3 linked regions of the Mytilus edulis genome follow. The protein of the gene in region 3 purifies or fractionates together with the protein of the main gene of each other region. This does not show direct contact. Links are inferred from orthologs where the notes say so. Each region holds a gene or a part of one and is shown on either strand. Other genes may lie near its edges.

Evidence for each region.
Region 1: the proteins of F-box/LRR-repeat protein 12-like (region 3) and S-phase kinase-associated protein 1 purify together in Homo sapiens (affinity purification with western blotting; 10 studies listed by BioGRID and IntAct, with this or other methods). This does not show direct contact. The link is inferred for Mytilus edulis from reciprocal best matches to the Homo sapiens genes FBXL12 and SKP1.
Region 2: the proteins of F-box/LRR-repeat protein 12-like (region 3) and serine/threonine/tyrosine-interacting protein A-like purify together in Homo sapiens (affinity purification with mass spectrometry; 4 studies listed by BioGRID and IntAct, with this or other methods). This does not show direct contact. The link is inferred for Mytilus edulis from reciprocal best matches to the Homo sapiens genes FBXL12 and STYX.

Annotation. Positions count from the first base shown.
Region 1 is NC_092350.1:58,847,772-58,858,485, reverse strand, and holds the start of S-phase kinase-associated protein 1, read right to left. Parts: upstream 4,699-10,714; 5' UTR 4,566-4,698; intron 3,385-4,565; coding exon 3,288-3,384; intron 2,248-3,287; coding exon 2,033-2,247; intron 1-2,032. Other genes in the region: S-phase kinase-associated protein 1-like, read left to right, coding at 7,773-7,788, 9,759-9,854, 10,546-10,714. UniProt on the Homo sapiens protein: Essential component of the SCF (SKP1-CUL1-F-box protein) ubiquitin ligase complex, which mediates the ubiquitination of proteins involved in cell cycle progression, signal transduction and transcription.
Region 2 is NC_092346.1:58,811,565-58,822,278, forward strand, and holds the start of serine/threonine/tyrosine-interacting protein A-like, read right to left. Parts: upstream 4,615-10,714; 5' UTR 4,530-4,614; coding exon 4,485-4,529; intron 1-4,484. Other genes in the region: UPF0669 protein v1g209471-like, read left to right, coding at 8,141-8,716. UniProt on the Homo sapiens protein: Catalytically inactive phosphatase. Acts as a nuclear anchor for MAPK1/MAPK3 (ERK1/ERK2). Modulates cell-fate decisions and cell migration by spatiotemporal regulation of MAPK1/MAPK3 (ERK1/ERK2).
Region 3 is NC_092344.1:119,866,777-119,877,840, reverse strand, and holds the start of F-box/LRR-repeat protein 12-like, read right to left. Parts: upstream 4,558-11,064; 5' UTR 4,482-4,557; coding exon 4,396-4,481; intron 2,173-4,395; coding exon 2,015-2,172; intron 1,149-2,014; coding exon 451-1,148; 3' UTR 1-450. Other genes in the region: nucleolar protein 10-like, read left to right, coding at 8,042-8,107. UniProt on the Homo sapiens protein: Substrate-recognition component of the SCF (SKP1-CUL1-F-box protein)-type E3 ubiquitin ligase complex.

The sequences.
Region 1 (10,714 bases), on a different chromosome or scaffold from region 3:
TTGGTAAAATAGATAAAATTGAAGAATATTGTATAATAAAAATAAAATATTAACAAAAACAAAAGAAAGTATGGAATAAAATTAATTACTGTATTAAATAAATTACATCAATCTTTAAAACACACATTAAGGTAAGAAATTTAAAATGGTAAAAAATATCAAGTCTTTGATCTTGGTTTCTGATATTTGTTTAATATGATATGGGAATATTTTGGTGTTTGATGGTCTATGAAAAATCTTATAAAAAAATTATCAAACAAAACTATATAGATCAATGAAAAAAATATGAAGAGGAAAATTTCATAATTCTATACACACCTTACATGTATTTCAATGAAATATTGAATATATCAAAGAACATTTTTAAACCAAACTGTGGTTTGGGTCCTGTCTGTGTTGTTATTTCACCTAATTTAATATCACAATGTTTTTATTGCAATCAAATCTTCTCAACTTATGTTTGTCCTCACAGAACCCTTAGGCATTTCACAAGATAATCCTTTAATGACACATTTATTATATCCCTTTGAAATCCTTAATGATGTCTTAATGATTAAGTGATCAATGTTAGAAACAAAATTATATGATAATTTATTTATTTTTTACCACCACCTAAGAAACTTGAAAGTGACTTTTTCAGTTTCATGCCTCCTACTACTCAATCAAAGGGTATAGAAACAGGTACGGTGCAGTACATGATGTTGACATCTACTTGTCTGAGCCATGTGAAGAAATTTCAATCAATGCACTGGAATAATGGAAGTCAAATTCAGTGTGCCTTTCTTCTTTGGCTAATACAGCTATCAAGTATTTAGCCATTTCCCACACATAAGCTCCTGTAGAAAGGCTTTTAAGTATCGCCAGAAAGGTGTACAGAACTGATCGCTGTTCTCTTAATGGCATCACATTTAAACTACTTATGATGATAAAGTGCAATGGACATATTAATTAACCAGTATTTGAACTCTATGTACCTAACACTGTATACATATGTACATATACCTCTGTTTTTGAAATGCTTTTTGTTTTTATATTGAAAAAGTAATGTGTAATGTAATGCATTACACAGGCAAAGTAATTGTAATGTAATGCATTACACAGGCAAAGTAATTGTAATGTAATGCATTACATGTGAGAAAAAATGTAATTGTAATTGTAATTGAAATGGAAGAATCACAAAGTAATTGTAATGTAATGCATTACATTGCAATGTAATGGACCCAGGCCTGCAGGGGACTTACTAAAATGAATAATTTTCTAAATCACTGGTTTAAGTAACATTATTTCCATAAAAGTTGGAAGTAAGAGTTGTCTTTCTTTAATAATCACCTATTTAAGTAGTACAAATTAATCACTAGAAGAAGTGATTTAATCTTATTGTAGCTTTAAATATAGAATACAAATGATCCAGGGACTAATTATGTTTCTAAACTTATCAGAACCAACATCTGTGTTGTCTAGGATGACCAGGTCATTTCAGGTGATGACCTTGTACTGAATCTAGGATAATGACATTAAAATCACTTGTTTAAGTATCATACCTCAATTTCCTTCCCAAAAATCACTTATTTAAGTATCATTATTTTAATAACCCCCACTAATTTCAACACCCCCGAACAGTAAAATTTTTATCGCGAACAGTACAATTTTATTACATAATATGAAAGATAAAACCTTGAACTTTACAGGAAAAATACTCCCACTGCTGGGAAAAATCTGTTAAGAAAGTATTAGTTCATTATGTAAAGCCATTATTATAGCATTTCAACTAAAATAGAATTTTCAGCTAAATGATAGCATCAAAGGCATAAACCTTGCTACTTAAAAGAAGCAAAAAGTTCATTTTTTTCAATTTTACTAATTAAAAGATATTATTTAAACCTATGTGTTTAAAATTTTGAAAAAAACTACAAAATCCCAATTTGTGACAAAACTTTGAATTTGCTACTCAAATAAGTGATTTAAAAATCATTTATTTCAGTAAGTCCCCTGACTGATTATAGAACTGCTGAATATGCAAATGTTAAATTACCAATATTAATTCAAATAATGTCCCTTGATCAACTTTTAGAAATTCAGCGTCCCAGGAACAAATATCATCTGTGCGTTTTTCTTTGTTTTCATCATCTTCCTGAGGTGGTGGGTCGTCTTTGTGGTATGTGCACCATTGAATAACTTTTTTTAGGATACCAGCATTTACATTAGGCAAGGGTACAGGCTCTTCATCATCCTCATCAACACCCAGATCTATAAATATACACATTAGACTACAAATAGACAAGAATGTGTCCTTAGTACATTGATGCCCCACTCGAACTATCATTTTCTTTGTTCAGTTGACCGTGAAATTGGGGTATAAACTCTAATTTGGCATTACAATTAGAAAGATCATATCATAGAGAACATGTGTACTAAGTTTCAAGTTGATTGGACTTCAGTTTCATCCAAAACCATAACCAAAACCTTAACCCTGAAGCAGGACAGGCAGACAGAAAAATGGATGAACGAATGAACAGACGGACGGACGCACAGACCAGAAAATATAATGCCCCTCTACTATCATACATGTCATAGGAGGGGCATAAAAATACCATATCTTTGTAAAATGTAATGTCAGTGTTAATACACTCCCCCCCCCTCATTTTTCATTTAAAGATATGTGTCTTGAGGGATAATTTTTTGAAATATGTCAGTTGAAGATAAATATGTATCAGTCCAATCCTATATTTTATTAAATTTTCCTCCAATAAAAAATGTGTTTATAAAGTAATAAATTATGAGAAATTACAACTTGATCTGATCAACATTTCAAATTTCAATTTAAAACCGATTTTTTTATTAATAATAAATGTATCAATATTTTTATGAAAACTCAGGCCTGGCAAAATGTTCTCTGATGTTGCTGCAATTTCATGATTCATAGCTATAGCTATATAAATATACCAATTAATTATGGACACATTCTAGATGATGAGGAACAATTTATATAAATTCTTTTCAATTACATAAAATTTTGTCATGTGTGAAATTTGTGTAATGAATTTTACATACATGACATATATAGTAACCTGGAATTAAGTTTTTTTTCAGTCATGTTTCATACTATTTTTAACAAAAGTCGAGCTTTTAGAGTTGCTTATGTAGTGCTTGTTCTACAGCTTTATTCACAATTTTTTTTCTCAATCAAATTTATAATGCATGCTAGCCTTTAACGCTACACATGGTAGATTTTATCAGTACACTGATCAAAATATGACTGAGGAACAATTTTTTCTTCAACAGTTTACCTTCTAACATAGTTTTAATTGTGACAGACTGTCTGGCTATCTCAACCTCAATTTCAAATATCTCTCCGTCTGAACTCTGTAACTTGATATTAGGCATCTAAAAGATAATAATTAGTCATAGTCATGTTAATCATCAAAGGTACCAGGCTTATAACTAGCCTATAACATTCTAAAGACGCATAACTCAAGAATGGTAAAAGTGACACAATTTAAATTAAATTTGTTGTTGCAATTAGATGATTTATTGTGATATACATTGTATTTAAGATTAAAATACCTGCTAACTTTTCAAAATGCCCATGGGGGTTTTACGTGAAAGATGATTCTTATTGTCCTACAAAACCTTCAAAGGGGCCTTCAAATATATTCTAATGTGGTTTTTTGGTTTCTTCCTGCTTTAACAAGCTCATAGCCATTGTTAAATTGTTTTCTTTAAAATAGTGGACAAAATTGCTCTTACAAAATTTCCACTTGGGAGCCTCCATGGGGGAAATCCCCCGCGAATAGTGACAGTTGGCGGGTATGGATTTATACTGTCTGTATTTACAAAGCTCATTGGAATAAATGTTATAAATGTGTTTAAAACAGAATACAAGTAGATAAATTATAGCTTGGTAGAAGTAAAAACAATGAAAGATAATTAGAGTTTGATAGCTAAAGCTGTTTGAAATCTTCTAGCTTTTGATTAATTGCCTTTCTCTGTCGTTTTTTACAAGTCTTTAGAGAAAAATTACTTATTCAGCCGGACAGGAGAGGTCCTGATCCCGGAATCCTGGGTTTGAAAACATGAAATCCTGAGGTCGGGAATTTAATCAATTTAAATCCTGACATCCCGAAATCAAAAAAAGAATTCCCATATCATGAAAGGTTCAATCCCAACATCCTGAGCTTAAAAACACCTGATCCTGCAGTGCCCATAAAGATCCTATCCCCCCTCAGTAATGTGATACTGAGAGGGGGAAACTTTTATTTGGTGTTTTGACACTAAAGACAGCAAAGTCAATATATTTTATTCTACATTGAATATCATTTTTGGGACTATTTTAATTTTGAAATCATCAATATCTTGTTCGATTGTTTTTTGAAGTAATGAAATTAATTCTCTTTTCACATAAAATGACACATGTGTCTATATTTGTAGATGACTTGTCTGAGAAACGGTGTCAACAAAAAAGAATGCGCCATATTTGTTGGCAAGAGCATACAAGTCTATAATTCAGTAAATATTTTGGAAAACAAATTGAATTTAGAACAGTGTAGTTCATTTTAAGACATTACTCTGATCTTCTGTGTGTATAACGGGGTGTTAAATCTTTGTCTTTCGTCTGAAACAACACAAAAATATATCGGAAACGAGCTGAATCTAAAATTTATAAGCGCCTCCTGTGATTAAGGGGCGATAATCTATTTTGCCTTTTGGATAGTTTTGTACTCTACCTTGATTTAGACGAACAACCTCGAAATTCCCGATATAAATAGAATTACTGCCCTTGAATAAAAGACAAAACGCTAGCTGACACTTGTTTTATTGAAAGACACAGAACGCAAAAAGTATAAGTTTATCAAAGTTTCACTATCTTTTATAATGTGAAATGGTTGCATGTGATATGATTATTTTTTACACATGCTGACTTAGAAAAATAGTCAGGCACTTTTTGACTTTGTTTACATTAGTTACCATTTAAAAGTACATAAAAAATCAGCATCATCTTTTACAAATATTTACATTAAAAGCATGTGAATTTTGTTTAAATAGTAATGTTGTACTCAGTTGTAGAAGTCTATAATTAACGGTTTTAAATTCATTAGCCTCACCGGACGATTTTTGAACTATGATTAATATTTTTTTATGTAGACTACTTTTCTTTTTTATAATTTTTTATACCATAGAATTTAAGATGTATGAAGGCTTTCCATTTTGCATCATATCCCACATAAATTTTTATTCACGTTAGGATACTTTAGTAAGATTTGCGTGACCTCGTTTTACGTGTCAAGAGAGCCACATATGGACGCAATTCCGAACAGCACTATATTGATATATCTTGCAGAAGAAATCAATGACAATAGTCTAGATTGATAAAGCATACATTAACCTTTATCTCAAACACATTTTCATAGGAAAATAAGATGCACAAGTTTGTTTTTTACTTCAATTACTTCAGCAGTGGTTGCAGACGAAATGTCGGTCATGTGTAAAGGAAAGATTTCTGATTTTTTTTTTTTTTTGTATAAGTTTCTCCTTTAAAGGAGCACTAAATTCAAGTTTATCCATTTCGGTGGTGTATTTATTATTCATCTATGATTTTTTTTTATATAGGTCAACATTTTTTTCGGAGTTTTCTGGACTTTTCAATAAAATTAACATATTTTCTTTTGACCATAAATAGGGTCAAAAGCGTCTAAAAAAGTCAATTGTGGGGTTATTTGGGCAAGATAAAAGGCATCATGCACATGAACAGAATCAGGAGATCTTTTTCTTTCTATATATTAACAAAAGAAGGCAATATGCACTTACCTTTATGGTTTTTTTTATAAAACTTTCAGGCCAGATTGCCGTTCTTATAATATTTTCAGAATGATTTTGTCATCGTAATCAACATTTCACCAAGTGCACATAAATTGTATTATCATGAAAACAAGGGAATTTTAATAGGATTTTTATTTATAAAAACATTTATTGTTAAATATAAAGGAATATGATCTCAGAGGGCAAACATTGGAAATCGTTCGTAATTGTGTCCAGTCGTAATTGCGTCCTATGGGGCTAATGAACTTGAGGATAGACGATAATGCCCTGAGCGCTTTACCGTCAGGATTCAAATGGTTTATTTTTTACTATCTTTTGCATCAAACCGATTAAAACTTTACCTTGATTTGTCTAAATATCATTATCGTGAATTATAAGAGGTCTCAGATAATTATAGGAACAAATATGGAAGAAAATTAATGAGATTCGTTCAAAATAAGTCTATTTTTTTTTATCGTCTGAAAGAAAGTGTACATTTTATCGTCATGCACCAAAAATAACCGTTAAGTTAATTTGGGCAAGAATTTTTGAAGGTAAGTACCTCAATTTCAATCCATATTAATCCACATTGATTCTGATTCAATATGAATTCGGTTCCTTACTGTTACTTGGAAGAAGAAGAAGAATTAACTATTTTGTTAAATTATTATATATTTATAACCATAAATACCCATTGTGTATGAAGCTGGATCTGCTCAATGCTGCAAGTGCTATGTATAGCAATACTGGCAATTCAGCTAGTCCATTTAGTCTGTAAAGTTGTTAGAATGTTAGAGTTATGTTTATTTTAGTTTTAAAAGGGAGGTATAAACATGATAAAATAAAATTTTTAAATTGTTCCTACGTATAATAATGAACATACATTTTTACTTTTTTGACACTGTTAATGTGAAAGTGTATTCTTTACATTTTTTTTTACATTTTTACTCTGATTTTTTTAATAAATATTAACAGTCAAGGGTGTAACTAAAATAAGTTATTAGAGAAAAATAACAAACATGTCGTTTTTGTGGTCTTAAATATCAAAATACCATAATAACATTTGTATGTTACATGTTTCAAAGGGACATTATACATGTTAATAACAGTTATATACAAACTTTATTTTGTTAAATTTTTCACAAGTTCTATTGATATTATAATTTTCTTTATGTATACTAAACTTTGCAAAGATATAGCAGTTCATAGTTTTCCAGTCATGCATAGTCAGCACACCTATGTTATTACAGAAAATATATTCCTGCAATAACCAAAGGGTGTTATTACAGCTTCTCTACATCTCTTTAAAGCCTTTGCTCAGAAATATATCACAATGTATTTCAATTCATTGTAAGAAATGATGATCAGAACTTGTAATGAGGCACTGCCCAAGATTCCAAGTAATTCCCAAGTGTCTCATTTACTCTCATATGATAAGTTACATGCCTGTAATAACTAAGCCTTGTAACATATTACAGCTTAATTTTCCCTAAAAGGCCTTGTCTCATTGATTTACTATGGTTGGTCAAAATTGTATTAATGGAATTAGAAAATTAGTTATCAACTGCGCAAAGTTTCAAGAATTCCCAAGAGCCTGCAAAAGATAAAATATTTATGATATATTTAACTGATAACAAACATATGTTACTACAGATTTAGGAAAAAAAGAGTAGACAACTCATGATAGTGTCTGTTATAACACATGCGTGTTATTTTTCTCTGATAACTTGTTTAAGTTACATCCTTGACTGATTAACAATGATTAAATTTGCTTTACATATATATCATAAAGTATCAAGGCATTATTTTTCTATGTTTATGTGCTCTTTTTGTTTCAAAATTTCATAAAATTCTGTGAGATCAAGGTATTCAGCAATTTACGTACTTAAACATTAATTACCTTAAAGTATTTAATTTAAATCTGTTAAAATCACCAAACTGGCTGTGTTTTTTTCAAAATATCTAGATCTTACAAAATGTACAAGAAAATTGGTAAGTATTATACATGTATATATTTACATTTATATGTATATCTGATACAAATGGTATACGTAACAGTTGGCCCATCTGGTATGAAATGGCTTTATTAATTGCAAAATATCATTGTTAATGGTACAAAATGGTTATGGTATGAAATGACTAGATTCATTGCTTATATTTAACTGCTTGTACATGCTAAGCAAGGAGACAGGGACATATATATGTTTATCAAGTGTGGTTACCATATGTGTCAATTGTAATAATTATTTATCATGTACATTTTTACTTAGCATTGATATGATAGCATTTGCATATGTGTAATGAGCGGAAGTACACAAGCCATAATTTCCCACCCGGGCTGATAGCCCATATCAGGTGCATCTCGTGCACAAAACCCATAATAGAGCCTCTCCTGCAAGTTACTTCCAGTGTTTCCGGTATCGGTTGTTTACTTTTCCATTGTGACGTCAGATGTTTTTTATGACGACGTCAAAATTTACGGGAACTTTTGTGTGGGTAGTTTAATACTTGCTAACAAATGCCATTGACAATTATGAATCATTTTATAGAACAACAAACATGGAGTAGTAATGATCGTAAAACTCTTCCAAATTTTCAATGTTTCAAAATGCCTCTATAGGAAATGTTACCATAAATATATAAGGAGTTAATGATGCTGTTGTTGGACAACTATAGTATATTTTGATTCATAATTTTAATTTTCTTTATAAAGTGTTTGACTGTTTTAGTTATTGCATTTTAGTTTATTTGCCTTATACATAAAACTATTGTCGGAAGTATATGATAAAGCGATTAATACATGGCCTTTTCCATATCAGCCTGGGTATCATCCCTCGACCCATATCAGCACCTTGACTCCGTCTCGGGCTGATATGGGGGTCTCGGGATGATACCCAGGCTGATATGGAAAAGGCCATGTATTAATCTCTATGTAAAGCAAGGAAAGTTTTTTACAAGCTGTAAATTTGTACTTTTTGAAAATATTTCCTTTATGTATACATGTACATGTAACATATATTTTCGGACTTTAAATTTCAATTTATAAGAAAAATGGTTAGGCAACCAGAGAAATATAAATACAGAAGATCCATAACTTTGCAGTGTATTACCTATAATTATTGTTGGTGACAAGTATAATCATATTTTTTGCAGCGACATTGGAGTTCTGTTTAGAAATTGTTGATACATACTGCACATTTCTAATGTACTGTGGATACCTTTATTTTCATGGAAAGATTGTATTTTTTAGATCTATATTTCATTTTGTGGTTTTGCCAAATTCTGCATTACAAGCCAAAAGAAAATTTGCATAAATTGTTGAACTTTTAATTTTGTAGATACAAGTTTATGAATCCTCAGTAACCCAATAGAGGTGCAATATAAATGTACAATTGCCTACAAAATTTTCAAACATCAGCTTAATGTATCAATAATGCACAAGTTTGTGTTGTGAAATTAACTGGTGATCGTGGTGATTTTGTATTAATGGATATAATTATTTTCTATAAAAAAACCTTCAAAATTCTTTCATTTTACTTATATTTAAAGAGTAGATCCCATGTTCATGATGTTATAGAATTATTTTTTTTACTTACATTTTTTTGGATGTCTCTTTTTTGTATTAATACTGAAAAAGTTATCAGATTTTTTTTTTTTTTTTTTTTGTGTATGTAATTCAACTTTGGTCCAATAACACTTTTTTGTCAGTCAATAAGTCATGATCTAGTCTGATGATCTAGTCTGATGCAGAAATAACTTAAATCTTGTTCCATCAGATTTGTATTGCAATACAATATGATCATGATGATATATTATATTGACATTTTTTCTCCTTATCTCTTCAATTTATACATTTATAACTACTGTAAATAAACCTTCTACTATTATTCATGATAATAACCTATATAGATCTATATATTTAATATGTTTAAGAATGTTTTTTTTTTATTTTTTTATTTCAGTGCCTCAAATAAAGTTGGAAACTTATGAGAAAGAAGTATTTGAAATTGATTTGGATATAGCTAAGAAGTTTGGTAAATTAGTACCAGTATTACAGGGTAAGTTCAGATTAATTTAGAAAAAAAAACAACTCAAAGAAGTCAATAGAAAAGTAAATATGGATCTTTGCAAAACCTCTTTGGGGATCAATAGGTGACCTGTTGCAAGGCAAAATTCCTGCTGTTATTAAACATACCTCATTTACAAATTTGCAGTTCAATCCTAATCCAGATTTGAAGACTGATTGTTATGCCCCATTAAAGGGCATTATGTTTTTTTTTGGTCTGTGCGTCTGTCTATCCATTTGTTCGTTTGTTTGTCCATCCATTTGTCGTCCCTTCGTTCATTCGTCTGTCCATCCGTATGTAGTCCGTTCGTTCATTCGTCTGTCCATCCCTATGTCGTCCGTCTGTCCCGCGCTTTAGGTTAAAGTTTTTTGGTTGAGGTAGTTTTTGATGAAGTTGAAGTCCAATCAACTTGAAACTTAGTACACATGTTCCTAATGATATGATCTTTCTAATTTTACTGTCAAATTAAAGATTTTACCCATTTTCATGGTCCAATGAACATAGAAAGTAATAGTGTGGATGGGGCATCTGTGTACTTAGGACACATTCTTATTTTAAGATGTTATTTATTCTTGTCTTGAATATGAATCAAATAATTGGCACTGTACTTAACCAAGCTATCAGCAATCAAGCAAATTCAAGCAAACTAAATGATCTTTCAGAGTATATTTTCTAATTACAGAGTTACTGAATGATGACAAACCACTAACCATCAAGACAATCAATTCTGGTACGTTGAAAAAGATCATCACATGGTGTACCTATCATAAGGATGATCCCCTCCCCCCAGAGGATGACGATAATAGGATGAAACATTCTACAGAGGAGGTTAGCTCCTGGGATGACAAGTT
Region 2 (10,714 bases), on a different chromosome or scaffold from region 3:
TTTTGATGGGTCTTTGCTAATTTTAGTCATAAATTGTAACTCATAACAATACAAAAACAGGTCCGCAATAAGTGGTGCACAGTTAGTCCCCATTGGAATTCCAATAACTTGACGATATACGGAATCTCCAAAGCGAACAAAAATGTTATCAAGTAAAAATTCAAGTGCATAAATAGTATCAAAGCATGTCCAATTGACATAGTTCTTTTGTTTATTGCTACTAAAAAATGATCTAAAAGAGTTTGAACATATGTACTCGCATTCCGACTTTTTAAATGCCCAGTTAATTAGGGATGTGAATTTTTTCTTAATAAGAATATGAGGCAAAGTGGTATATAGGGTAGAAAAATCAAAACTTTGAACAGATTCAAAATCACCAATATATGCATGCAATTTATCAAGTACTTCCAACGAGTTTTTGACACTCCAAAAGTAATTAATTCCACTATTTTCAAAGGCCTTATTTGAACAATTTATTATCAGGTTTTTTATTGTACCAAGTGTACTAGTAAGTAAAACAGACAATTTAGTAGTTGAACAATGGCTGGAAGATGAAATAAATCTATATTTGTAAGGTTTTTTGTGCAGCTTCGGAAGCCAGTACATAGTTGGGACTTTCATTGTGTTTGGTTCTGCTTGTAAAGAAGTAGCTAAAAGTTTATGTTTGTTACAGATGTCGTTTTCTGAAAATGAAGTCAGTTGGAATGTTGGTGAATTCGTGATTTCCTTTTGCAGAACCTCTATATAAAATTTACGTCAAACAATAATGATATTATTAGCAGCTTTATCAGCCGGGACAAAAACAAATTCCTTGGCTAGTTCTGTTAGTTTATTTTTGATACGCGAAATAGGGTTTTTATAGTTTTTGTTGAGGGTAAAATGTTCTTTAAAATGTTGTATTCGAATATCAACTATCTTCATTACTGAATTAAAAAAAGAGTCCAAAGATTTTTTGTCAGCTTTTTCCCGTTTTACCCATTTCAAACAGTAGGCGCGGAGTGAGTCGTTGATGATATTACGACACTCATTCCAGTTAATAGTTGACGGGGGACGATATTTAGGTCCTTTACTGAGGAATGATTTTAACTCTCGGTCGCGAACGATGTTAAGGTCTCCTGTTATAACATGGGAAATTGGTCCATAGGTGTATTCTGAATTACTGCAATTACACGACATAGGTGTATTTTCAGTGATATTTACATCTTTACACAATTGGCTATAATTAAACACATATTTTCGGGTAGATTTCTTGTAAATATAACAAATGAGAGGGAGTTCAGTATTATCAAAATATCCAGGAATTTGGTCTTTAACAGAATGGTCGTTAAAAATACCGGCAATATTTACAAAATCAAAACCTTTATTGACATACTTTATTTTAATAAAATGTTTTTTATGATCTTCAGGGCGATCAATTTTTGGAAACAGTTTAGAATAACAATATGCCATTATAATTTGGACAATTTCATACTTAGGACTGTAATATGAAATTGTGTTGCAATCCTCTAAAATTTTATTTAATTTATTTATAGGTAAAGAACAAAGCTTGGTTAACAGATAATGTCTGCCGTTATTTTTTGAAATGGAAATTAGGTCCGAAATATTTGTATGGTTGGTCCGAAATTTTCTTTGATTGCGATTTTTTCTGCGTCCATGAGAACGATTTTTACGAACAGTTTTAGAAACTATATCCAAAATGTTAACAGAATCGGTTCTTGATATATTGCCAATTCCCATGATATTATCATTAAGACCGAGAGGGTAGACTGTCTGTAATTTTTTAATCCAATTTAATTCATTTATTTTTCGTGATCGTACAAACTTGGAATGAGATTCACCAGGCTGCTTATTTACTACTTCTAAAGGTTGAACTGTTAAATATTTAATAGGATGACTGTGCTTCTTAAGATGTTGATAAATGATACTTTTGAATTTATTGGGTCTTTTAAAACGATACAGGTGTTCTTGCGTGCGTTTAGATAAATATCGCCCAGTTTCACCTACGTACTGAATACCGCATCCCGGTTTGTTTCATGTGAGTAAATAAATAATACTGTTTGTTTTTCAAGTAATATCAGTTTCAAAATTTAGAGAAAATGTGCGACCATTAAATGTGGACCTTACTGTATTGTTGGTGGAAAGACGGGGACACGTAAGTCATTTTTTGGCATGACACTTATCGATAGAAGGGTAACCACGATTTTTATTGTTAAAAACGTTAGCTATTGTAGTATTTTTAGATAAGCGATTCTGAAGATTGAGACGTGTAGATACCCTTTGAACGAGTTTAGTATTTAATATTTTTCCATTTCTAAGCTTCATATTTGTTTTTTGGTATGTAGATTTATTACAAAGGAGCAAAGACTGGCGTCCAGAATATGAACCATCACACAGTAGATTAAATTGTGTAAAAATGATAAAACTGTTCGGCTCAAGACGTCAAATGCTTATTGTCATAAGTTACCCGACAAATTTAACAAAAGATAGGGTATATCAAGGTAGCGACTGACGTCTGACTAAATAGATGAATGGGGCTGAATATTAAAATACTACTTTTTGATAGATATTCCTAAAGTAATGAACATAGAGAAGTTCTCGCTCGGACACACACTCCATAATCTAGTATAATATAAGAGCATAAACCTTAAGCACGGGGAGGCACTCTACTGTCTCCACACGGCACTAAAGACAAACTCTGTAAAAAATAAAATTGAGAAAGGAAATGGTGAATATGTCAAAGCGACAACCACCCGACCATAGAGCAAACAACAGCCGAAGGCAACCAATGGGTCTTCAATGTAGCGAAAATTCCCGCACCCGTAGGTGTCCTTCAGCTGGCCCCTAAAATATGCATAATAGTACAGTGATAATGGACGTCATACTAAACTCCGAATTATACACAAGAAACTAAAAATTAAAATCATACAAGACTAACAAAGGCCAGAGGCTCCTGACTTGGGACAGGCGCAAAATTGCGGCGGGGTTAAACTGTTTATGATTGCATTTTATTAACAACGATTTAATTATGTCAACATGTGGCAAACAATTTTAGCAGCAAAATTCAATTGATTAATATGTTATTGGAGTATTCGATCTTGTAAAAGCCGATCGCCCTGGAGGTTGATAAAAATGGGTGTCAAAGCAGACCTCGGCAGAGAGCAAATTCTAATTTTGATATAACATTGAGGGATAAATTTTAATGGGCGCCGATCTCGTAAAAGCAGATCGCCCAGCAGAGCCGGTTATATAATATGATGAAAACTTGTTTTGTAAAAGAAATTATTTCCTCAAAAGACAAAAGTTTGAGCGTTTTTTGTAAATAATGTTGATGATAGACCATTCATGAAATACGATGTCATCATTATGGAACTATTTCAAAAGTTTTGAAGATGATCCAAATAATTTTAAAGAACACTGGTTCAATGCTTTAAATATCTTATCAATTAATTATATGAACTTTTGTAATCTGAATTCAACAATTTACCAGTTCAATTTGAAATCCATTTGAATCAAGGTAAATTTATAGAAATGACCTGCTGTTGAAAAAATACCCGATGAATGATTTTTGTCAGTGGTTTATGTTAGCTGGAATATATGTCTTTTTTATAGGCCTAGGTAACTATAGCTAAGATGATAGACTAGTGCATCATGTTCAATGATATTCATGTAATAACAGTAGCCCATCCAGAATTATTCAAAATGTTACAACTTACATGAACATCAGTGTACAGGTTAAACCTAATAATATACATTTTCCGTTTTGACAGGAAAATAATGTTATTTCGTCTTAGATGTTATGCTTAAAAAATTCCCAATTAGAATAAAAATTCCCAATTTGATGTTCCAGGGACCCATTTGAAAACACCTGGAATCATCCCTGGATTGGTATGCAAGTACAAGATGCAGCTACTGTATTCGAAGCTTAGGTTTGACCAGTCTTGTATAGGTTTTTGTTGAACTATTTTCTAAATTGACCTTTAGATTTCTCTTGACAAAGTTTAGATGTACATTTTTTTTAGTTCCCTAATTTATTACGAGACACCAACATATTTTCAATTCATCCCAAGTTTCGCACAGCAAATTTTTGAATTATCCTCAGCATGGAGTCCAGCATGAATTGAATACTTGAAGCTGCTTCTGTGAGATTGAGGCAACACCACCTGCAATGTGTTCAGCCACAGCCGAGTGAAGATCAGTACGTGCCCTTGTCTGGACTAGACTCAATTGACTATTGCTAATAATATGTCAGTGGTTTAGAATTTTATTTCCCTCTCTAAAAAATATTGAAATGTGTCCATAAGATGAATGGAGCAATGCATGGACTGTACAGTAACACTGTCATGACTGTGCAAATGCCAATGGCAAAAATATCTTTGAGACTTTGAATGAAAATGTCTAGTTTTTTTGTGTGCTTCTCTTTTTTTTTTTATATACATGGACTTTCAACTTCCTGATAGACATTTCTACTGTTAAATAACATTTACCAAAGATTCTTGTGATGGAATGTTGGGAAACATATGGTTTTCCATGCTTCACAAGTTGCCAAAACTTTTGTTTTGCTGGCCATGTGTTCTATGTTTCAATTTGTGTGCCTGACGTCATCAATACGTGTGTACACACTGGGGAAAAACGAAAGTGTACAAGTGCCCGAAGAAAATCTTAAAAGTAAGGATAAACAGTATTTAGAAAATATGACATTTGATAAGTTATACCAATTGACATATAATCTATGCAACAAAAGCCAAATCATAATGTTAACATTGACAGTTCATGAAAAATCTCCCGAAATGGCAATTACTGGTAAATTATCTCCCCCTACACAAGTAAATAGAGATAGCTTGGTGAAGAAAATAGGAAATAAGATTATAAGTTTAAGTATGATACACTTAATAGATTTTATGTCATTTAGATATAAGACTATAATAAGCTTGAAGTATTCAAGATATCCTTTATGGTGACAATATATATTATTTTACAAATACAATGTGTAACCGGAGAGCACGAATTTCATTACAAAATTGCTTGTCTCCACCGGGACTCGAACCCGGTACCTCTGTGTTACAAGGCAGCGCTCTAACCGACTGAGCTAAAGAAGTACTTCCTTAGCTCAACCGCTTACGGCTGACTAAGTATCTACTAAGTTTTTCTAAGGGAAGCAATCCCGTCACACTTCCCCCACCTCAAGAGTCATTATACTCTATAATGATGATATTTTCATCTTTTTTTATATTTATATTTTAACCTGGCTAGGTAATTCTTCTAACCGTGGGTTATTCTTGTTGGGCGCCAATGTAACCGGAGAGCACGAATTTCATTACAAAATTGCTTGTCTCCACCGGGACTCGAACCCGGTACCTCTGTGTTACAAGGCAGCGCTCTAACCGACTGAGCTAAAGAAGTACTTCCTTAGCTCAACCGCTTACGGCTGACTAAGTATCTACTAAGTTTTTCTAAGGGAAGCAATCCCGTCAAAAAATTTATATTTGTGTTTTAGTTACAATGTATATTTAGTCATGGAGTAGAGGTAATACTTGTATTTTCCCGCGGTTCGTATAGTAAAGCGGGAAAATATTGTATTGTCGTTACGTTTTCATAAATATTCATAAGGCATGACAAAATTGACCAATCAGAAGTTGAATTTTGTCTTTCGATATATTGGTGTTTTTCAAGCGCTTCACTTTCTAGCCGTCGTTCAACATAGTAAGCTCCTTTATCTTTAATTGCTGATTGCAATTAAAGTTGTTTTTTCTGATTTTGTATTTGTATATGTATTTGCTAATTAAAGGTGTGGTCCGCCACTTTTATCCGGAGATAGGCTCGAGCATTGGCACGGATACAGGTTTCCATTCATATTCATATATCATGTGAACGATTGTTGGTTTTTCCTGGACGGCCTTGACTATCTATGAAGGGTAACATTCAGAAATTTAAGCGAATACACTGTGGATACATTGATATTTGAAATATTGTATATATGTTTTAATATTTGTTAAAATGTGTACTGCTGGAAATTATTTGAGATACAAATTAAATACGGCGTCTATCACGTTCGACGGGCTGTCGATGAAATATGAGACAGAAACATTTATTAGAACAAACCCAACTGGAAAAGACCAAGGATTTGTATAGTAATATACAAATCCTTGAAAAGACTCAATACAACTTAAAGAACAGTTTGTTATTATGCAAAGTAATATTAAATATATATATATATATATATAACTGGCACCTAATATCAATAGGTTGTATAAATATTATATGCATGTTATACAATAGTCCGAGATTACCGGCTGTTTTGCCAGACAAGCTGGGGCTGTGGCAAAACAGCCGTTGGACGTCAGAGTAATCAGTAATTCAGTATGATTAATTGACGATTTTTTCATGTGAGAAGGTAACTCAAAAGTGGTCTGTTAACAGATTGGGACCCCCCCCCCCCAAATAAGAGATATACCTTTTAGAGGGGATGTCCCTCAGAATTATATGCCCCTTTATGATATTATTTACCAGATAGAGGGGATTGCCTGTGTCCCTGCACTGTAAATTTTCATCAAGTGTCCGAGTAGCTGAGGAACCGTAACTCTTAAGGTCCTTTTTTATTTTGCGAAAGCTGCAGAACCGTAACTCTTAAGGTCCTTTTTTATTTATTTTTAATTTTGCGGAACATCTATGGGACCTAAGAGCTAGGGTTCCGCAGCTAGTGTCTGAGTGATTGTCCTTGTGCAGGAAAAATAGAAATTCAGAAAAGGGGATCAGTTTGCTGTGATAAAAGAAAGAAAAAAACAGCTTTTCAACTTAAAAATGGGAAAATTCATTATATTTAGAACAAGGGGGGTCCTCTTATTTTTAATACATTGTACTAAAAAAGTCTTGGTATATATATATATATACCAAAAATCTTGGACATGTTTTGACAATATAATACCAGATAGATGTATAGTTCTTTTGGGAAAATTTTGCAAATAATAAGTCTAATTTTTTCGTGAAAAAAGATGGTTAGGCCACACCAATTTAATTCCTTGTTCGACGGACCAGCCCGCACCTATTTTTTTCTAAATAGAAAATAGAAATTATTTATTTTTTTAATATTCTAGCTTCACACATCCGGAAATGTAATCATGTCTATTTCCCTCTTCATACATCTCATATTTTTGAAAAATATTATAAAATAGAAAAACTTAAAATATTTAACTTAAAATGGGGAGAAATACATCATATTTGATACAATTTTTTTTTTTAAAAGGGGTCCACTTATATTGAAAAATATATAAGAAAATGATATATGTTAAAGTCCAGGAATATTACAAATTTCTTGGACATGTTTTGACCATTTAATACCAGAATTATATTTACCTAAAAAAAATAATAATTGCTCGCCTTTACTTTTCAAGCATTGCAAGAAATTAAATTGGTGTGTCCTTATGAATATCTGACAATTTATAAGGATATACTGACCTTGATATTCAGTGATTTTCCTACCTTTTTTCAAATGGGGCCTTGGCCTTAGGTAATTGGGAAAATGTCACATAATGTGTGAATTGGGAAAAAATAAATCATTGTTTTCATCCTAGTTTAAAGAGCTTATTTCTTAAAATTCCAATTTTTTATCATGACCAAATTTTAACATATAATTTTCTTTTCTTGGTTCATTTTAATACATATCATCAGGGTTTTTCATAAGAATGATAAACTTGATTAAATTTGGAATTTTCAGTGTTCATTTTGGGAAAAAAATATGGTTTTTCTAATTGGGAATGGGGCCTATATTCGTACCCAAAATAAAGGCAGGAAAATCACTGATATTATAGGATTTCAGAAGTAACAGGGAGAAACTGTATTATCCTTTTTCAGGTCTTAATTAGGTCCTTGCATAATTTTTCTATTACCATAATACATATTATATGTGTATCATTTCAAAAGTGCATGATATAACTTTATACACCTCCCAAAATTTAACACTTAAGTAAATGATTTTTTAAAACAAACAGTTACATTTATGAGAAATTTTATTGGATAAATAGATAAACAAAACATAATATTTATTAACTTGTAAGGAGGAAAAAATCCACATTACAGAAGAAAATCTTTTAATAGTAGAAAAAACATAAGTATGTTTCTTTTTCATTTTCAGACAGTTAAAACAATGGATGTTCAGCACATAGTGTTACAGTTTTTGCTGTGGGCCAATTGGGGTCTGAACTTGGTTTATTGTGAACATCTACTTCAAACCTTAACAGCTACGATTGGTGCAGAAAATTATACACATTACAGACTAAGTACTCAGGGACGTCTTCACATTACATTAGAATCAATAGTAGGGGATGCTGACTTATACATATCTGATAATACTTTATCTCCAAACTTTGAAGATTATGTTATACAATCAAACACCTGTGGGATGGAAGAAGTAGAAATCCCAAGTACTATGAAACGACCAGTAGGTATAGGAATCTATGGTCATCCTAATTATAAAATGTCCGAATACAGATTGTCAATATACTTCTTAAAACAGTATGATGATGCAAACTACGCACAATTAGTTCATTCATATAACAAATTAGATGGAGAAGATAATAATGAAGAAGGATACCAAGCATATGATTACTCATCATCACAGTATAGTGCAGGGACTCAGCAGGAAGAGGGAGAATCGGCTTGGTCTGTTATTGGTACCATTCTATCCACTATTTTGAAAATCATCTTTGAAATCTTATTATAACGTCAGTGAATATATTATTTGGTAGTATGATACACATAAGTTCTAATGCTTTTTTTGGCCCTGTGTGTAAAAATTATAAAGATCGGGAGGGTCTTGACGGTTGAATATAGTAATCCTTTAGTAATATGGTTGCATGAATCAATAGTTAAAATACATTTAAAGGTTTCTGAGACATGAATAGTTTTACCTTTTGATAGAAGATTTTTTAAATGGTGAAGGATATTTATATTAAATTGCCAGAAATATGTTGTGTGATAAGAAGTTATTATGAACAGATAAAGATAAAAAATTATATTTTTACTATTTGTAATCATGGCAATAATCATCAATAATGTATTAAAGACAATATACATGCACTTAAAATTATAATTACAAAAAAAATGTAATTACAAAATTAAATAACAGAAAAAATAAATTAAATTTCATTTGTATCTAATTTACAATTTATAGAAAAATTACAATAGCTTTAATTTTGATAGGAATAAAAGAGGACGTAAGGTGTATGTCAGTGAGGCAAATGTCTACACAATATTACAAATTCTCTCATGAGTCTTTTCAAATTGTGAATGAATTGAAAAGAAACATATAAAGTTCTGCAATTATCACCACCAAATTCTCCAAATAATGCAAAGCGTTGAGATACAGAGTCTGATTAAGCCTGATTTACAGGGGATGTCTGGGTCTTCTTTATGGAGATACATTTGTGGTTAATGAAAGTGTTTTGTCTGTTCTAATCCCCTCACTCAAAATCCTGGATCCGCACCTGAGATTTGTAAAACATCAACTAGGGACAATAGACGTATTTACACTTGTATGCAAATTTGTCCGCCATTACGTAAAATCACACAGGTACATTGTACCCGTAAACTTTGACATCATAATTTAAAATATTTGACGTCACAATTTAAAAGTGATTGTTGCTTGACGTCAAATGGTGATTCAGAGTCGATCTAAGGTCATTCAGAGGCAAGATACAGCTAAATACTAAATGTGTAAATACGTTTATATTCCGGACAGTGACTTGTCATTTGATTGGGTCATGAATTAGCATCATTTTCAACAACAAAAATGCATACATTTGTTAGGTGGAGTTCTCTTTTATTTTAAGATAAGGTTGCTGCTTTATGCTAATTTTGTAACATTATGAAAAAACATTTTTTTATTTATATCTTTGTATTAACATTATATTGAAAAAGTTGTGTAAATGTATGCAGCATCCGAATCATTACATTCCTACAGCATAATGTTCATGTAGGCTTTCAGCAATTAAAGCAAATTAAATAGATATGTTGATCAAGTGTCATTTTATCTTCATACATTTATATATTGATATACATTTTGTACCTCAGAATAAAAAAGGATTGTCATGACTGTAAGTTTTGTTTAAAATAGAAATTGATCATGAGTAACACTGTTGTTGTGATAGGCCCAGAATAAGTACTTGTGTTTAGAGTTTTTCTTATTACCCTGTTTTAAAAGCCTCAAGTTCATATGCACAAATTCTTGTTTTAATTAGCATAGTATCCAATTATAGTTTTGTAATGTAACAGCAGTCAAGTGTATACTAATTTAAGGGGGTATTTTGATCTTGCAGTGTGATGCAATTTTTATCTCAGTTAAAGAGAGAGAGAGCGAGCCTCACTGTGAGATGAAAAATAGCATTAAAGTGCTATAATTCTGTTTGTATTTTGTTGAACATGTTGAAGTGCATGTAGGAATTTTGTATTATGAAAAAATACATCTAAAGCCTTCTTTGCCATTATTTTATATTTAAAAGAATTGTATACATGTAGTTGAGCTTGTTAGAGTGAAGAAATGAAACTGAAAATATGTTTGAACATTGTAGTGGACTATATGTAATAAGTTTTAAATGAAAACTAATAATGTTAAGAAACATATGTTTGTTTAATAATGAAGAATAAGTGTACAATTATTAAATTTAAAAAATGGCATATCATTATAAACTGTGGCTTTGGCAAAGAGATTTACTTTTTTTTT
Region 3 (11,064 bases):
CAGCCAGGATCTTATGCTAAACAAGAAATGGGCAGTGATTTCCTATGCCAATTTGATTTAATCTCTAAACAGATGATCCAAAGTTGTACAATGTATTGTGAAATCAAAGAGCCACCTGGAGTAGAATTTCAGGAAACTATTTCATCCCTAGTATATTTTCAAGTAACAGTACTTAAGAGTGTAAGTATTCTAACATATTTTGAGAATTTTTAGCAATCCTTTTTCATATTATTGTATAATACAACAATGCTGGCTAATTTCAGCTTAAAACAGCATCATATGATAGATTTTATATTTAGAGGCAAATGTAGTAATAAGAGATGATTTTACAGTTAAAGGTCAAATATATTTGGAAACAAATGAAAAACAATAATTGATTGCTTGCGTAAAATGTTCAGTGGTAATTATTTCATTCATATTCAGGAAAACAAATAGATAACAAAGAGGCCCTTAAATATTCCCTGGCTTGTTAGGATTTAATGCTGTTATAATACAGCCATTATTTTCTAATATGGTCTCTAACGTTGATGTGATGTGGGGAATGTCACACACTAAAGTTTTCAATGATTTTAGAGACTTCAGACATTCCAAACCAGATGGCGTCAGTAAATCACATTTATTTATATTTAAATGCTTTAGATTGCTTAGTCCTGACACTATAGTAGAAATACCTGAATCAGTAACTTTACTATTCCTGATGTTCAGAGTTTCTAACTTTGTCAAATGACGTGATATGTGATGTAAAATGAGATCTGTACAATTACAATGTGCTATTTCTAAAGTTTGTAAATTAATCAGTTCTTTTGCAATCTTTTCTAACCCTTTCTCATTAATTCTGTAACAAGCATTCAAATTAAGAGACTCTAATCCGGTTATTTTACAAACATCGTCTAAATCAAAATTATCTACTCTTGAGGTATGTTCTAGTATGAGACATTTGATGTTGGGTACCATGGTATGGAGATGTTTAAACCATCTAGGTTTCCAGTAACACTGATACAATTCTATAGAAGTCAGACTTGGTGGAAGTTTCATCTCTAGGTTCTGAAGTTTACAGTTTTGTAAGGTTATATGCCTGATATTGGGACATCTCTCATTCAAGTCAGCAAGCATGGCATCTGATACTGGGTTTTTATCCTTTATTGGCACTACAATGGAAAAAATAAATCAGTTTGGAAAAACAGACCATTCAGATAATAATAGATTGATATAAGATTTTATAAAATCCTCTCAGCTTCAGCTGTTAAAAATGTTTACAGATTAAAACAAATTTCTAAATTAAAATATCTTCTGTGAGTTTCATACTGAGTCTGTAAATCTACTCTGAGTTGGAAACTGAACCCATATTCATTGACCATAGCAATATATTTTTGCTTTTTAACAGTGTTAAGACAAGACTGATCAAACATTCATAAAACAGTAAATTTGCCTATTCATATTGCCAAAATGAGTATCCAGTTATAACTTAAAAATTTATCTTCCCCCCCCCTAAAATTAATACATGATAATACCTATTGGTCCAAGGTTTTTCAGACAAATGAGACATTCAGAAAAGTCCATACTTACTGTTAAAACCTCTCAGTTTTAGAATTGCTAATCAATTCACTTCAGAGAAGTTTAGTTAGTATAAACTTTTGAATTTTACATAAAAGTTTCAGACTAATAAGACATTCTCTAAGAACATAAAATGTCCTTTTCACATACCAGTTCTGGTATCAGTGATGGATCCAGAGAAATTTACATAGTGGGGGCCCACTGACTGACCTAAGAGGGGGCCCACTCCAGTCACGCTTCAATGATTCCCTATATAAGCAACCAAATTTTTTCCCAAAAAGGGGGGGGGGGCGGCCCCCCCCTAAATCCGCCTCTGGGTATTGCCTTGAGACTCCCATATCATGCACAACAGTACAAGGCATAAGCTGAGGGCTCATATACAAGAAGGTTGAGGGTTGATACCAGGGCCTACATTAAAAATGCCTAATTAACTATTATGTGAAAAAGAATCAATACATACTGTTAAAATCTCCTCTAAGTTTCAGACTGATCAGACATTCTGAGAAATGTGACCTGATAACCTTCCACGTCTTTTTCAAATCTAATCTGTAGGGTGTTAAATCTACATGTCTCCATAATGTGTAATCTCTGGTTATCCTTCTCCATCTTCTACACACTCTGTAAATATCAATAAATTCATATCAAAAGTAAAATATAAAACCTGCATTTCCATACTATACTTAATCTTTCTGTCTTTTGGAATTATAAATAAACATAAATATTACTAGAGCGCTGAAACAGTCAAGTTAGAGCACCGACACAGTCAAGTAAGAGAACTGACACAGTCAAGTTAGAGCACAGACATGGTCAAGTTAGAGTACTGACAAAGTGAAGTTAGAGCACTGACACAGTCAAGTCAAAGCATTGACACAGTGAAGTTAGAGCACTGACAAAGTGAAAGAAAGAGAACTGACACAGTTAAATTAGAGCATCAAAACAGTCAAATTGAAGAACTGACAATGTGAAGTTATAGAACTGACACAATCAAGTTAGAGCATCAACACAGTCAAGTTAGAGAACTGACAGAGTGAAGTTAGAGCACTGAAACAGTCAAGTTAGAACATCAACACAGTCAAGTTAGAGCATTGGCACAGTCACAGTCAAGTTAGAGCATTGGCACAGTCACAGTCAAGTTAGAGAACTGACAGAGTGAAGTTAGAGCACTGACACAGTCAAGTTATCAACACAGTTAAGTTAGAGCAATAGCACAGTCGAGTTAGAGTACTGACAAAGTGAAGTTAAAGAACTGACAAAGTCAAGTTAGAGCACTGACAAAGTGAAGTTAGAGAACTGACACAGTTAAATTAGAGCATCGATGCAGTCCAGTTGCAGTACTGACAAAGTGAAGTAAAAGATCTGACACAGTCAAGTTAGAGCATTGACACAGTCAAGTTAGAGAACAGACAGAGTGAAGTTAGAGCACTGACAAAGTGAAGTTAGAGCACTGACACATTCAAGTTAGAGCATTGCCACAGTCAAGTTAGAGTACTTACACAGTCAAGTTAGAGCATTAGCACAGTCGTTTTAGAGTACTGACAAAGTGAAGTTAAAGAACTGACATAGTCAAGTGAGAGCACTGACAAAGTAAAGTTAGAGCACTGACAAAGTGAAGTTATAGAACTGACACAGTAGAGCATTGACACATTCAAGTTAGAGCATCAACACTGTCAAGTGAGAGCACCGACACAATCAAGCTAGAGCACTGACACAATCAAGTTAGAGCACTGACATAGTCAAGTTAGAGCATTGACACAGTCAAGTTAGATCACAGAAAAAGTGAAGTTGGAGCACTGACACAGTCAAGTTAGAGCACTGACACAGTCAAGTTAGGGCATTGCCACAGTCAAGTTAGAGCATAGACACAGTCAAATTAGAGCATAGACACAGTCAAGTTAAAGCATTGACACAGTCAAGTTAGAACAGACACAGTCAAGTGAGAGCACTGACACAGTCAAGTTAGAGCACTTACACAGTCAAGTTAGAGCATCCACACAATCAAGTTAGAGCATCAACACAGTCAAGTGAGAGCACGGACACAATCAAGGTAGAAAACTGACACAATCAAGTTAGAGCACTGACATAGTCAAGTAATAGCACTGACACAGTCAAGTAGGAGCACTGACACAGTCAAGTTTGTGCATTGCCAGTCAAATTAGAGCATAGACACAGTCAAGTTAGAGCATAGACACAGTCAAATTAGAGCATAGACACAGTCAAGTTAGAGCATTGACACAGTCAAGTTAGAACAGACACAGTCAAGTGAGAGCACTGACACAGTCAAGTTAGAGAACTGACAGTCAAGTTAGAGCACTGACATAGTCAAGTTAGAGCATTGACACAGTCAAGTTAGATCACAGAAAAAGTGAAGTTATGCACAGAATCAGTCAAGTTAGGGCATTGACAAAGTCAAGTAAGAGCACTGACATAGTCAAGTTAGAGCACTGACAGTCAAGTTAGATCACAGAAAAAGTGAAGTTAGAGCACTGACACAGTCAAGTTAGGGCATTGACAAAGTCAAGTTAGAGCACTGACACAGTCAAGTTAGAGCACTGACAGTCAAGTAAGAGCATTGACAGTCAAGTTAGAGCATTGACAGATTGACACAGTCAAGTTAGAGCACTGACACAGTCAATTAAGAGCATGTATATGTATATAGTTTAAAAATAAAACAAGCTGTGATGCTTGACACTGATAAGTTTTTGCTGGACCATACACTTTTATTTGAGAAATTGAATCATTCAGTAAAAGGATTTGTACAGGGACAGGCTCTGACAGTCTCACTTTAGAACTGTACAAATCTTCGTTCAGTGAGTGAGAGGACGCATTTAAGCAAATCATTACCTTCCAGCTATGCATAATTCTTTAACAGGTAAATAGTTCAAAACTTCTAATATGATGTTGTCAGGTAGTAAATCAAAATTGGCCATAAATGCAAAGTTTGTTTTCCGAAAAATAAATTAAAACATTTATGTGACATAGATTTTTTCTTTAGATATTTCTATTATATGTATTACAAACCCGTATTCAAACCCAAAATCAACGACTGATTTACATTAATATTTTTTTTACTTTATCCTTTGGCAGGTGTTACCTGGAAAAGAGACGAAGTCGGAAAACATAAAATTACTTAACAGTATCCTGTTAACATAAAATTGAGAATGAAAGTGGGGAGAACAGGATCAACAACCCGATCAAAGAGAAAAAACAGCCGAAGGACACCAATGCGTCTTCAACCTCGCGAAAAAATCCCACAACCGGAGGCAGGCCTCAGCATGCAGATTGTACATACATGTGTATATAAAACATTGTTTTCGATTCCCAACATAATGTCTTATTAGAAAGTCACTGAATTTAATAATAAAAAAAGCCAAACAAACATGATTTATACATTAAAAACAGACTAAAATAAAATTGAGAGTGGAAATGGGGAAAGCTTAGTGTCAAAGAGACAACAACCCGACCAAAGAGCAGACAAAGGCGGAAGAACACATATGGGTCATACTAAACTAAAAAGGCCTGCAACTTAGAAAATCAAAAAATAGTTTACTTAAATACTTTAAAAGATATCAAAATTATCTCCCCTTGACCACTGATTCTTTCCTCATGCATTTGAATTATTATTTTATGTTTCTTTAATTACTCTGTAATGTTTATGTCATGTTGTAATTAATCACGTTATGCTCTTAATGGGCCCTTTAATTTGGAAAATAAAAATATTGTATTGTATAAACTCTGAAATATACACAAGAAACTAAAATTAAAAATCATACAAACTAACAATTTCATAGGCCAGAGGCTCCCGACTTTGTACAGGCGCAGAAATGTGTCGGGGTTAAATATGTTTTCTTTAGATCTCAACCCTCCCCCTATACCTCTACTGAGCCAAAGTAGAAATGTGTCGGGGTTAAACATGTTTTCTTTAGATCTCAACCCTCCCCCTATACCTCTACTGAGCCAAAGTAGAAATGTGTCGGGGTTAAACATGTTTTCTTTAGATCTCAACCCTCCCCCTATACCTCTACTGAGCCAATGTAGAAATATGTCGGGGTTAAACATGTTTTCTTTAGATCTCAACCCTCCCCCTATACCTCTACTGAGCCAATGTAGATCTCAACACTCCCCCTATACTTCTACTGAGCCAATGTAGAAATGTGTCTGGGTTAAACATGTTTTCTTTAGATCTCAACCCTCCCCCTATACCTCTACTGAGCCAATGTAGAAAAAAACAAACACACAACGATCTCAACCCTCCCCCTATACCTCTATTAAGCCAATGTAGAAAAAACAAACACGCAACAATACGCACAGTATAACTCAGTTTAACAGAAGTCCGAGTCCGATGTCAGAATAGTTAACAAAAGCAACTAAACAAACTGACAATGATACATAAATAAAAGGACTACTAGCAGTAACTGACATGCCAGCTCCAGACTTCGATTAAACAGATTGAAAGATTATATCTTCATCATATGAATATCAAGTTCAATCCCAAGAAATATGTATTACATATCAACAAAAAATATGTATAAAACGTCAATTTTAACTCTTTTAACTTTATCTATAATTCTTATAATTCATTCTTTAATTGATACAAAATGTATCTTTATCAATAATTTAAATAATCTGATGATTTTGATGCAAAACTTTTTGTCATCATACATATGTTTGTATCTTTCTGAGAAAGCAACAATTTATATATGATGCATTTAATACAGTGAACCTTGACAAATATACAATACATTTTCAATTATAGATAATAGAGAGATTTTTATTATCGATACAGAAATTGTAAAAAAAAAAAAACCAACAAAAAACTCAACAAAAACAACAAAAACTGAAATAGTTAAACGGGTAGTTCTTGTTACGTCAGAATTACCGACTAAACAACGTACCTGCAAACTACTAGAAAAGAACTGCATGTAACACACGACAAAAGAATGATACCGGTTTTACAACATGTATCTAGCTTCTCTACAGATTACCGTGCATCAGTTCCCTTATGTACAACGATTATAAGTTATAGGATATGTACACACACACTTGCAAAGTCAACCTACAGGGTAAATTCTCAAAGTGATTAGTTAAATGTGATCCCTAGTTCTATAACCGCTGATCAATATAGTAATCTCAGGTTAAATGGAACATGTGGAAGGTGATATGTGTAGCTATTGAATCTGGATGCCGGACGTGTCAGACACACTAGACAATAACATTATTGAAGCTTGAGGGCTGCAACTAATTAAAACTTGAACAGTTAGGTGCTTTTTATATAGTGCGGCACACAGTCAATATTTTTGGTCTTCAATAAATAGAATATACAAATATAAAGATGTGTATAAGATACAAAAATATAAGTAAACAGTGTCAAAAGAATATTGGATCATGAATTTGCGGAACTGTACACAAATAACAAGTTCCAATATATATTTCATTATGTTTTAATTTTTAAAAACAAAATCAAAGTTAGTACTGATATCCCAGTACCGTTGTTAAAAAAATACTGCTGTTTTAAATTGATAACCTTTAATAAAGTGGATAATATGTATCTGCCTTTAAGAACAATTTGATTCCAATGATGAAATAGTTGAAGCATGGATAGTGTCATATTTTTCGTGCTTATAATAACAACATCAGCGTAAAAACAAGGATGTGGTATCCGGTTTTTAGATAGAATTAACCAAATCATTGTAATTATGAAAAAAAGTTGGTAGAGGGATGATCATTGTGTGGTAACGAGACCCCCAGATTAAACTATTTTCCAGTCTTACTGTGTGACTCATACATAGATGACATTCATTAAAATCTAGAATTCTACTATTGACATGCACATTGCTTACAAGTTGTGAAATAAAATAAAAATAAATTTTCCATTATTGGAAGATGATTTTCCTTTTGTACCTTTTCATGAGGTGCATATTTAAAGTGGTACAATTAATTTCCATAGGAATATATACAACCTGTCAATTAACTTTATTGTCTTAAACGCTAATATATATTTTCAATGAGAAAATTTACAGCCGTAATAATTTCATCACAGTTCCAGTAAGTATATCTAACATATTTTCCTTTTCCATTAGAGATGTATGAGTTGCAGCAAATGATTACAACCAGATATTTTAAATGGAATACAGACAGAATGTCTTTTTGATAAGATTGTGGTAGTGTAGTGTACAGAGTAGAAAAATCATAACTATCAGCCAAATTGAAATGACCATCAAAAGCACGTAATTTATCCAATCGATAAAGAGTTCATATCTCATAAGAATCTGAGACAACTCTACTTTTGTGTTATAGTAGTCTGACCAAGAGATTATGTTTTATTTTATTTCATCTAACCGAATCAAAAACAAACCATAATTCATAATTACCTCGGTATGTACCCGGGACCAATAGGCACATTGTAGATACATCTTTATTAGTTATCTCCCTTTGAACAAAAATGTAAACAACTGCACGTGTGATTGTATTATTATTTTACGCAATTAATATGCAAGTTTCTAATCCAAACAATGTGAAAATATACAATTTAAGTGCTGGTAAATCATTACCTCAGGTAAATGACTAGAAATATTTTATGGTTATTGATAAATATTGAAAAGGTGATCATGGAGTCACAGTGTGGAATATAAGCGAATATTTTGTATAAACCCTTATCTATCACTTAACATTATCTTTAATTTTCTTATATGGATGCTCTAATGCTGTGTTCACACGTAATTCGAATTCTATTCACATTAACTAATTTTAATGTCCGTTTGTTATGATGAACCTTAATTTGCCTTCGATACAGTAACATCCAAACGGTAAATTCTAATTTGAATTGCAATGTGCACATCAAAATTATCCCTTTACTGTCCTAACGACGTTAACTTTTAATTCGAATTAACAAAAACACATTTCTAATGCAAATTGGATAATGGGAATTAGCTAATTCGAATCAATTCAAATTAAAAAGGAAGAGTGTGTGAACACGATTAGCGAATTCAATTTGCATTAGATTCGAATTCAATTCAAATGAAATGAACGTGTGAACGAGGCATAACTGTGTAAATATAGTACTCAATGCGAAGGATGATTAAAATGTCACAATTTTTGCTAGAAGTGACCTCTAAGTAAGAATAAACCCTGCTCCTTTCAAAGAGCTTATTTTTAATCCATTTTTGATGCAGCCTATAAGTTGTAGTAGAGTATGTCCCTGGTGTTTGGATGGATTGCCTAAATAATGTATATATTGACTCATGGTGTAAGAATGCTTTAACATTTATTTGATTAAATAATGTAATGTTTGGTGGTCAGAATGATTTATGTCGGGTATAATGCTAGTATGTAATATGGGGACAAAGTCCCCAATAACGGTAGACAAATTGAAAAAAAAATGAATAAATTGGTGAGAATTTTCTACTAAACTCAAAATTGTTAACTTTTTTTTTCAGACTTTTTTAAATCCCCACATCTGCGCAGAAATCTACTTCCTTTTCCGGTCTTGTATGCATGAGACTTTGAATAAAATATATATTTATCAGTTTACTAAAATATATAAGGAAGGAACTCAATACCAATTCATTTTTATACGACCGCAAAATTTGAAAAATTTTTCGTCGTATATTGCTATCACGTTGGCGTCGTCGTCGTCGTCGTCGTCCGAATACTTTTAGTTTTCGCACTCTAACTTTAGTAAAAGTGAATGGAAATCTATGAAATTTTAACACAAGGTTTATGACCACAAAAGGAAGGTTGGTATTGATTTTGGGAGTTTAGGTCCCAACATTTTAGGAATTAGGGGCCAAAAAGGGCCCAAATAAGCATTTTCTTGGTTTTCGCACTATAACTTTATTTTAAGTTAATAGAAATCTATGAAATTTTGACACAAGGTTTATGACCACAAAAGAACGGTTGGGATTGATTTTGGGAGTTTTGGTTTCAACAGTTTAGGAATTAGGGGCCAAAAAAGGGCCCAAATAAGCATTATTCTTGGTTTTCGCACAATAACTTTAGTTTAAGTAAATAGAAATCAATGAAATTTAAACACAATGTTAATGACTACAAAAGGAAGGTTGGTGTTGATTTTGGGAGTTTAGGTCCCAACAGTTTAGGAATTAGGGGCCAAAAAGGGACCCAAATAAGCATTTTTCTTGGTTTTCGCACCATAACGTTAGTATAAGTAAATAGAAATCTATGAAATTTAAACACAAGGTTTATGACCATAAAAGAAAGGTTGGTATTGATTTTGGGAGTTTTGGTTCCAACAGAATAAGGGGCCCAAAGGGTCCAAAATTAAACTTTGTTTGATTTCATCAAAATTGAATAATTGGGGTTCTTTGATATGCCGAAACTAACTGTCATGACTGTATATGTAGATTCTTAACTTTTGGTCCCGTTTTCAAATTGGTCTACATTAAGGTCCAAAGGGTCCAAAATTAAACTTAGTTTGATTTTGACAAAAAATGAATCAGTTAGGTTCTTTGATATGCTGAATCTAAAAATGTACTTAGATTCTTGATTATTGGCCCAGTTTTCAAGTTGGTCCAAATCGGGGTCCAAAATTAAACTTTGTTTGATTTCATTAAAAATTGAATAAATGGGGTTCTTTGATATACCAAATCTAACTGTGTATGTATATTCTTCATTTTTGGTCCTGTTTTCAAATTGGTCTACACTTAAGTCCAAAGGGTCCAAAATTAAACTTAGTCTGATTTTAACAAAAATAGAAATCTTGGGGTTCTTTGATATGCTGAATCCAAAAATGTACTTAGATTTTTTATTATGAGCCCAGTTTTCAAGTTGGTCCAAATCAGGATCTAAAATTATTATATTAAGTATTGTGCAATAGCAAGTCTTTTCAATTGCACAGTATTGCGCAATGGCAAGAAATATCTAATTGCACAATATTGTGAAATAGCAATTTTTTTTTAATTAGAGTTATCTTTCTTTGTCCAGAATAGTAAGCAAGAAATATCTAATTGCAAAATATTGTGCAATAGCAAGATTTTTTTTTAATTGGAGTTATCTTTCTTTGTCCAGAATCAACTTAAATCTTTGTTATATACAATATACAATGTATATTCACTTTTTACTACCAACTGATAAATTAAAATAATCTTTACCATTCAGTGATAACAAGCAGTTTTTTTACATCTTAATATTTTATGATGTATTTAAATGAGTAGTTATTGTTGCAAACTCCATTAGAAATTTTAATTGAGATTAGTTTTGGAATAAGGGAAAGGGGGATGTGATTAAAAAAATTGGGTTCAATTTTTCTCATTTGAAATTTCATAAATAAAAAAGAAAATTTCTTCAAACATTTTTTTGAGAGGATTAATATTCAACAGCATAGTGAATTGCTCTAAGAGAAAACAAAAATTTTAAGTTCATTAGAACACATTCATTCTGTGTCAGAAACCTATGCTGTGTCAACTATTTAATCACAATCCAAATTTAGAGCTGAATCCAGCTTGAATGTTGTGTCCATACTTGCCCCAACCGTTCAGGGTTCAACCTCTGCGGTCG